Ovis aries: one gene and its partner. The protein of the gene in region 1 purifies or fractionates together with the protein of each later gene. This does not show direct contact. Links are inferred from orthologs where the notes say so. Each region holds a gene or a part of one and is shown on either strand. Other genes may lie near its edges. The genes, in order: MAF and USP5.

Region 1 (4,484 bases):
TCATCAACAAAACTGGACACGGATCAATTTCAACTGACCTTTGCCGAAAGGTGGCGCTGTTGAGGTAAGAACCAACTCGGTCCAACAATAGTTTTCCCTCTTCGACCGTTCTGCAGGCTTTTCAGATTTTTTTTTTTAATGCACCCTCCTAGCGTCTCCCCCTCCCATAAAATAAGATAAATATGATTAACACCAAGTGCATTTCATTAATTGGAGGAATCAACAGTCCAACATCCAGGCAGGCAGGCTGGTCTTCCAAACGCTGGGTCGGCTCCGCGCCCTCTTGCTTTCCCTCAAATAAATCTCGGCTTCTCCATCTGGCCTATCGCTTTAAAATCTTAGAAACAGAGTTGCTGGTTCTTTCTTTCTTTTTTTTTTTTTCCTTCCTTTTTCTTTTCTTTCTTTTTCTTTTTTTTTTTTTTGCAAAGATTTAGAAGAATCGATCGAGAAAACTGAACAGTTAGTTATTAGCATCTGCAACACCCCCAAGGGGGAGAAGCAGCCCCTACTCCCGTCCTCCCCATCCCCCACTCTGGGTTTCCGGACCCGTCCCAGAAACCGCGGTTTAAAACTTAACCCTTCGAGGGGAGCTGGTGAAGGCTGGGCTATTGGTTCTTTTTTCGCCCCCGTTCCTCCCCACGATCAAGTCTGAAATAATTAAGCGAAATGTAAAAGTGCAAAGGGCGCGCAGGACCCTGATAAACAGGAGTCAGGTTTCATAAGGGGGTGGATGAGTATGTGCGTGTGTGTGTGAGAAAGAGAAGTGAGCCTCAAAGGCCAGACTCGGGCCAGAGTCAGAGGCCCGAGGGTGAGGAGCCGGGCTGACCTGACACCGAGCTTTCCCGGAGTTAATTCGCGTTCGCACCCCCCAGCCAAGGACGGGAGAAGCCAGCGGGCAGCCAGCCCCCGCGCGGAATGGCCCCTGAGCAACTCATTTCAAATCCTTTAAAAGAGGCTGATAAAACGGGCTCTCTCTCTCCGCGGACTTGGAGCCGCCCTGGCAAGCGCGCGGCCGGGCGAGGTCAAGCGCGCAGTGGGGACCCCTGCGCCCCCACGCGCGCGGGTGCGCGCGGGCACCGGGGAGAGGGACAAAGAGTTGGGGCCAAGTTTGCGCTCGGGGCATTGCCAGGCACCGGGGAAGGAAGGTTCCCCCCGGGCGGAAACCTGGGTGCCCTAAGGTGGAGCAAGGAGAAAAAGCTGCCAGGCGAATTCACGATCCTTGCGGGGGTGTGTGTCGGGGGTGGGGGGGGCGGTCAGGAAGGAGTTGGCGGGGAGCAGGCCAACCGTGGCCGAGCGAGTGGCAGGCGAGCTGGGGCTCCGGAAGGCAGGCCTCTCTAGCTCCGAAGTAAAGCAAACCGTCCTCGCTGTCCACCCGGGTTCCCGCAGCCCCTCCGGAAAACTCCGTCCCCTCTTGCACCAAACTTTGCTCTGGTCTTTGCAACCTCGCGCGGAGGCTGCGGCTTGGGAAGGGTTAAGACTGCCCGTCCCAGCTGACAGTCAGCTGATTGGGCCCTGATTGACAGCTCGGAAAAGTTTCCTTGTTTCTCGACTCCTATGCTAATCGCGGGCGCTCCCGCTGCCTCCCATTGGTCCGGAGTACCAGTCAATTTCCCATTTGGGCCTGACGTCACGAGTGCTATAAAACTCAGCAATAGCTTTAAACTCTTCTTGCTGGATCAGAGGCTTTAAAATCTTTTTTTTTTCATCTTCGAGCCGTATAGCTCCGGCTGCTCGTCTGCGCGGTCTCCCCTCTTTTGCTCTGCGCCTCGCCTTTTCCCCAGGACTTCGCTATTTCGCTTTAAAAGAAAAAAAAAAAAGCAAGAAAGAACTCAACTCCCCCCCCCCCCTTTCCTCCAGCCCGGCTGCACCTCTGTCTTGCACTTTGCACGGAGGGAGGAAGAGCGCGAGGTTGAGCGAGAGGAGAGAAAAAAAAAATTTTTTTTTAAATTAAAAAAGAGCCAGGCAGAAGAGGAGGCGAGAAGCATGAAGTGTTAACTCCCCGGTGCCAAGGCCTGCGCCGCCCGGACAGCCGCCCGCCGCGCCTGCAGCCCCGAACGGCAGCCGCGCGCGCCCCGCCTGCAGCCGGGGCCAGCAAGCCGAGCCGAGCCCTCCTTATGCAAAGCGCGCAGCGGAGCGGCGAGCGGGGGACGCCGCGCACCCAGCCGGGCTCCTCCGGCTTCGCCGCCGCCGCCGCCACCGCCACCGCAGCCCGCGGAGGACCTTCCCGAGCCTGAAGCCGCCGACTCGGCGCGCTAGGAGGCGAGCAGGCGAGGAGGGGCCGGGGCGAGCGAGCGAGCACATTGGCGTGAGCCGGGGCGGGGGGGAGGGAGGGCGGGCGCGGGGGGCGCGGGCAGGGCGGCGGGGGTGTGTGTGTGTGTGTGTGTGCGCGCTCGGAGGTTTCGGGCCAGCCACCGCCGCGCAAGCTAGAAGCGCCCCAGCCCGGCAAGCTGGCTCACCCGCTGGCCACCCAGCACAGCCCGCTGGCCCCTCTCCTGCAGCCCATCTGGCGGAGCGGCGGCGGCGGCGGCGGCGGCGGCGGCGGCAGGAGAATGGCATCGGAACTGGCAATGAGCAACTCCGACCTGCCCACCAGTCCCCTGGCCATGGAATATGTTAATGACTTCGATCTGATGAAGTTTGAAGTGAAAAAGGAGCCGGTGGAGACCGACCGCATCATCAGCCAGTGCGGCCGTCTCATCGCCGGGGGCTCACTGTCCTCCACCCCCATGAGCACGCCGTGCAGCTCGGTGCCGCCTTCGCCCAGCTTCTCGGCGCCCAGCCCGGGCTCAGGCAGCGAGCAGAAGGCGCACCTGGAAGATTACTACTGGATGACCGGCTACCCGCAGCAGCTGAACCCCGAGGCGCTGGGCTTCAGCCCCGAGGACGCGGTCGAGGCGCTCATCAGCAACAGCCACCAGCTCCAGGGCGGCTTCGATGGCTACGCGCGCGGGGCGCAGCAGCTGGGCTCGGCGGCCGGGGCCGGCGCCGGCGCCTCCCTGGGCGGCAGCGGCGAGGAGATGGGCCCCGCCGCCGCCGTGGTGTCCGCCGTGATCGCCGCGGCCGCCGCGCAGAGCGGCGCGGCGCCGCATTACCACCACCACCACCACCACCACCACGCCGCCGGCCACCACCACCACCCGACGGCCGGCGCGCCGGGCGCCGCGGGCAGCGCGTCCGCCTCGGCCGGGGGCGCGGGCGGCTCGGGCGGCGGCTCGGGCGGCCCGGCCAGCGCCGGGGGCGGCGGCGGCGGCGGGGGCGGCGGCGGCGGCGGCGGGGGCGCGGCGGGGGCGGGGGGCGCCCTGCACCCTCATCACGCCGCGGCCGGCGGCCTGCACTTCGACGACCGCTTCTCCGACGAGCAGCTGGTGACCATGTCGGTGCGCGAGCTGAACCGGCAGCTGCGCGGGGTCAGCAAGGAGGAGGTGATTCGGCTGAAGCAGAAAAGGCGGACCCTGAAAAACCGCGGCTATGCCCAGTCCTGCCGCTTCAAGCGGGTGCAGCAGAGGCACGTCCTGGAGTCCGAGAAGAACCAGCTGCTGCAGCAGGTCGACCACCTCAAGCAGGAGATCTCCAGGCTGGTGCGCGAGAGGGACGCGTACAAGGAGAAGTACGAGAAGCTGGTGAGCAGCGGCTTCCGAGAAAACGGCTCGAGCAGCGACAACCCGTCCTCTCCCGAGTTTTTCATGTGAGTCTGACACGCGGCCCCAGCTCGCCCCCTTGCTACGCGCTCCGTGGGGGTCCGACTCGGGTGTGGGCTTGCAGCTCCAAGCGCCTTGCTCGCCACCACCTCGCCCCCTCCCCTCCCCAACTTGCCCCCCCCAGTTGCCCCCTGCACGCGCACACACACACGCGCGCACACACACACACACACACACACTGCTCCGAGATGATGGTGGTGGTGGCGGCTGTTTTTGAGTCGGGGAGGGGCTGGTGGTCTGGCTCATGGATTGCCAATCTGAAATTCTCCATAACTTGCTGGCTTTTTTTTTTTTAACATCCCCCCCCCCACCCCTTTCACTTGCTCAATGTTCAAAGATCTCAACAGAGTTCCTCATGCTCACCTTTGAAGCCTGCATCATTCACGTATTTTTTTTTCTTCAGTTCATGAGCTGGTGTTCATTTTCTGTGTGTGTGTGTTTTATTTTGTTTGGATTTTTTTTTTAAAGAACTTTGAGTTTTTGGAGCTTGCTGTGTTGCCCCTAACTCACCACCCCCCCATCCTCCACCCTCACCCCCTTGCCACCCATCTCTTTTGAGATAAAAGAAAAAAAAAAGGCTAAGTTTTTTTCTCCTCCTGAGTTCTTCATATGAGATTGAGCTTGCAAAGGAAAAAAAAATGTGAAATGTTATAGACTTGCAGCGTGCTGAGTTCCATCGGGGTTTTTTGAGCATTGTTATGCTAAAATAGAGGGAAAAAAATCCTCATGAACCTGCCACAATCAAGCCTGCATCAACCTTCTGGGTGTGACTCGTGAGTTTTGGTC
Region 2 (3,800 bases), on another chromosome or scaffold:
CCTGTAGCTCCGTCTTGGGGCAGAGGCTTGTGTACCCTGCATGCTCACCTGTTTGGGAAGGGGAGGGAAGGTGAATTGCTGGAAAGACGTGGACCCCAAGTGTCAAACACATGTCTCCCCACTTTGGAGGGACCTGTTCCCTGAACTGGTAGATGAATGCTCCCTTCCCTTTTCCTCTGGGCCTGGCCGCAGCCCCTTCAGTGATCCTTCCCTTGGCTCAGGTACGTGGATAAGCTGGAAAAGATCTTCCAGAACGCCCCAACGGACCCCACCCAGGACTTCAGCACCCAGGTGTACGTAGCCGGGCCTGTGTGCCCTCTTTCTCTTCCATGACCCCCTGAAGTGAGCAACAGTGTAGCCTCTGGCCAGCTAGACACTTTCCAGTTGCTATCTTGCAAGCATGCTGTCTGCCTTGAGTTGGGTTCCCATGGAATCTAAGGTGGTTCACATTTAAGAGAGTTGTCTAAGGGGGTTTGAGCAGGGGTCAAGTTGGGGAGGTAAGGGCTAGATTGGTGGTGTCAGACGGAAGCTAAATGGTTCTCTTGGGTGATGACACAGGGCCAAGCTGGGCCACGGCCTGCTCTCGGGGGAGTATTCCAAGCCAGCACCAGAGTCGGGTGATGGGGAGCAGGTAATGGAGCAGAAGGTGGGTCTGGACCTCCATCCTTCTCAGGCTGTGGAATGGTGGGGAAACTGAGATCCATGTGGGAGGCGTCTAAAGAAGGCCACTTGGTGGCCTCTCGGGCCCCGGCTGAATGGCTGCCCCAACTCTGCCTAGGAAGTCCAAGATGGCATTGCCCCTCGGATGTTCAAGGCCCTCATTGGCAAGGGTCACCCCGAGTTCTCCACCAACCGGCAGCAGGATGCCCAAGAGTTCTTCCTGCACCTTATCAACATGGTGGAGGTGAGGACAGGGAAGGTGGGGGTATTCATTCTCCTCCTGTCTACCTGCACTTCAGTTCACTCCCTTCTTCCCGCTGCTCACCTGTTCCTCCTCCTCTGTCAGCCCCAGCCCAGCCCCACCCCAGTGACCCCAAGCACTGAGCCTTTCCTGAGAGTGGCGTTTGCACTTGAGGACACTTGTTATGCATACAGCCTGATGAAGGATGCTCCCAAAGAAAATGATAGGCGAGTGCTTAGTGCTTAGAAAGAAAGTACAGGGGACTTCCCTGGTGGTTCAGTGGTTGAGACTTCGCCTTCCAGCACAGGCGGGTGCAGTATCAATCCCTGGTTGGGAACCTAGGATCCTCCAGGCCAAGAAACCAGAAACAAGCAATACTGTAACAAATTCAATAAATACCTTTTTTCTTTTTTAATATTTATTGACTTGGCTGTGCTGGTCTTAGTTGCAGCACAGGGGATCTTTGATCTTTCATTGTGGCATGTGAACTCTTATTCGTTTCCACAAGTGGTATCCAGTTCCCCAGCCAGGGATCGAACCTGGGCCCCCTGCATTGGGAATGCTGAGTCTTAGCCACTGGACCACCAGGGAAGTCCCCAATAAAGACTTTTTTTCAAAAGGAGGTCCACATTCAAAAAAGAAAGTACAGGCACTTTCCCACGCAGTCCTGCAGTGCCAGGATGGGCCGGAACTGGCGGGTTGATGAGGGAAGGTTTCTGCTCTGGTCTCCCATCCCTGCACCTCTTTGTGCCCCTCTCCCTTCCACTCCCTTCTCTCCCTGACTCCCCAGTGACTCTTGTAGGCCCCCACCCCAGTGCTTGGCTGTCCAGACCTCCCCACCCTGCCTCTTCCCCATAGAGGAATTGCCGGAGCTCTGAAAATCCTAACGAAGTGTTCCGCTTCCTGGTGGAGGAAAAGATCAAGTGCCTGGCCACAGAGAAGGTGAAGTACACCCAGCGAGTGGACTACATTATGCAGCTGCCCGTGCCCATGGATGCGGCCATGAACAAAGGTGGGTGCTCTGCTACCCTCCCGGGGCCTGGGGTCTGAAGCCTGGCAGCGATGGGGCTTGGGTGCCTTTCAGGAGCAGAGCCCACAGTATCCCTGCTTACCAACCAGGCCAGGGTGTGGGATTAACCTTGCGCACAGCTGGTCAGCTGAGCCGTGCTGAGAAAGAGGCCAGGTTACAGGCAGACGTGTGTCTGGTGGGTTTGGGGAAGCAGAGGAGCTGAGATAGCCGTGGACTCAGAGGCAGTAGGCCAGGGATGAGCGGGGATGTGGCTCGGCCCCTCTGAAGGGTCCACCCACTTGCTTCTGTCACCAGAGGAGCTTCTAGAGTATGAGGAGAAGAAGCGGCAAGCTGAAGAGGAGAAGCTGCCTCTGCCTGAGCTGGTTCGGGCCCAGGTGCCCTTCAGCTCCTGCCTGGAGGCCTACAGCGCCCCCGAGCAGGTGGACGACTTCTGGAGCACAGCCCTGCAGGCCAAGTCAGTCGCTGTCAAGTAAGTCCTATGGGTCCCGGCCTCCGTCAGGGTCCTCCCCGAGATGCTGTCAGCCTCTTTTGCATCCTCTCATCCCTTTGTGGTCAGAACTCAGGCTTCCATCAGCTGAGGCAGGTAACCTGGGGCCTGAGGGGAACCGAGAGGGCCTGGCAGGAGTGGACTTGGATAACTGCTACATGTTACCTTGACCTGCCCCTGCCAGTCTTTTTCCTCTCTTGGGGTGGATGGGGTCACTTTTCAGGAAGCCTCTGTCTGCTCACTTCCCCAGGGCTGGCAGAGCATGGGCACTTAGGAACAGTGGTGGACAGAACTGAGATTTTTAGCACATAGTCTTACTTTTTGCTCACCCGTCACTGGCGTAAACTTGAGATCTGAGAAAGTGCTTTGGTCTCCGAGATTTCAGCCACCTGCCCCTTTGCTGCTCCTGCCCCTAAGAACCCCCATTCCCCTACTTCCTACCTTCTGCTACTGTTCGTCTGCAGACACTCTTGATGCCTGTCCAGGGCAGGAAAGGAATATGAAATTATCTTTAGTGTGGTTAGTTCTTCTACCTATGAGGCTGGACCCGGGTGGGGCTTTCAGGACAGCTTCTCTGGGTACCAGGCCATTCTCTCTTCTCTAGGACCACACGATTTGCCTCATTCCCTGACTACCTGGTCATCCAGATCAAGAAGTTCACCTTTGGCTTGGACTGGGTGCCCAAGAAACTGGGTATGGTTGCCGGGACGAGCAAGGGAGGTTACGCAGAAAATGCTAGAAAAAGAAGGGGCCTTGACATGTAAACTAGTGCTTCTTCAGCTTTCCTCTGAAAGGGGAAACATTATTAAGACTTTGATTTAAAAAAAAATTTTAACTACGTTTTTTAATTGAAGTATCATTGACTTACAACATGGTGTTAATTACTGCTATAGAGCAAAGCTATTCAGTTATATTAAATACATATATATTCCTTTTTAAATTTTTTGTTATGATTTATCATAGGATATTGAGTACAGTGTGCTGTGCTATACAGTAGGACATTGATGTTTAAGACTTCTTTGATTTTATAGTTATGACTTACACAAGCAAAAGTGGTTTTCATAGTTTTATACAGTTGGTAAGATGTTTTCATTCTGATAATCTTGAAATAGTTTGTTTTCACGGGTCTCACAGGCCCCTGACAACTTTGCCAACCCCAGAACTAGCTTCATTTCCTAGAGAAGTTGAGTCCCATGGAAGTATAGAATCGTTCGGTGGCATAGTCAGAGACCCCTCTCTGGCTCGTGGCTCATTAGTGGTAGATCTAAGACTGGAATCCTGTTCACTTGCCCACCCACCCCCCACCCAGCCTGTGGTTATTTTTATCACACTGTGATGGGTCCTGCTCTGCACATCATCTTATTACAGAGCAAGATGAGGGC

What was found.
Region 2: the proteins of MAF (region 1) and USP5 purify together in Homo sapiens (affinity purification with western blotting; 3 studies listed by BioGRID, with this or other methods). This does not show direct contact. The link is inferred for Ovis aries from reciprocal best matches to the Homo sapiens genes MAF and USP5.

Annotation. Positions count from the first base shown.
Region 1 is NC_056067.1:6,019,558-6,024,041, reverse strand, and holds the start of MAF (transcription factor Maf), read left to right. Parts: upstream 1-1,665; 5' UTR 1,666-2,549; coding exon 2,550-3,689; 3' UTR 3,690-4,484.
Region 2 is NC_056056.1:209,426,779-209,430,578, reverse strand, and holds part of USP5 (ubiquitin carboxyl-terminal hydrolase 5), read left to right. Parts: intron 1-221; coding exon 222-293; intron 294-558; coding exon 559-646; intron 647-778; coding exon 779-904; intron 905-1,419; exon of another isoform or gene 1,420-1,492; intron 1,493-1,759; coding exon 1,760-1,913; intron 1,914-2,225; coding exon 2,226-2,400; intron 2,401-3,022; coding exon 3,023-3,111; intron 3,112-3,800. UniProt on the Homo sapiens protein: Deubiquitinating enzyme that participates in a wide range of cellular processes by specifically cleaving isopeptide bonds between ubiquitin and substrate proteins or ubiquitin itself.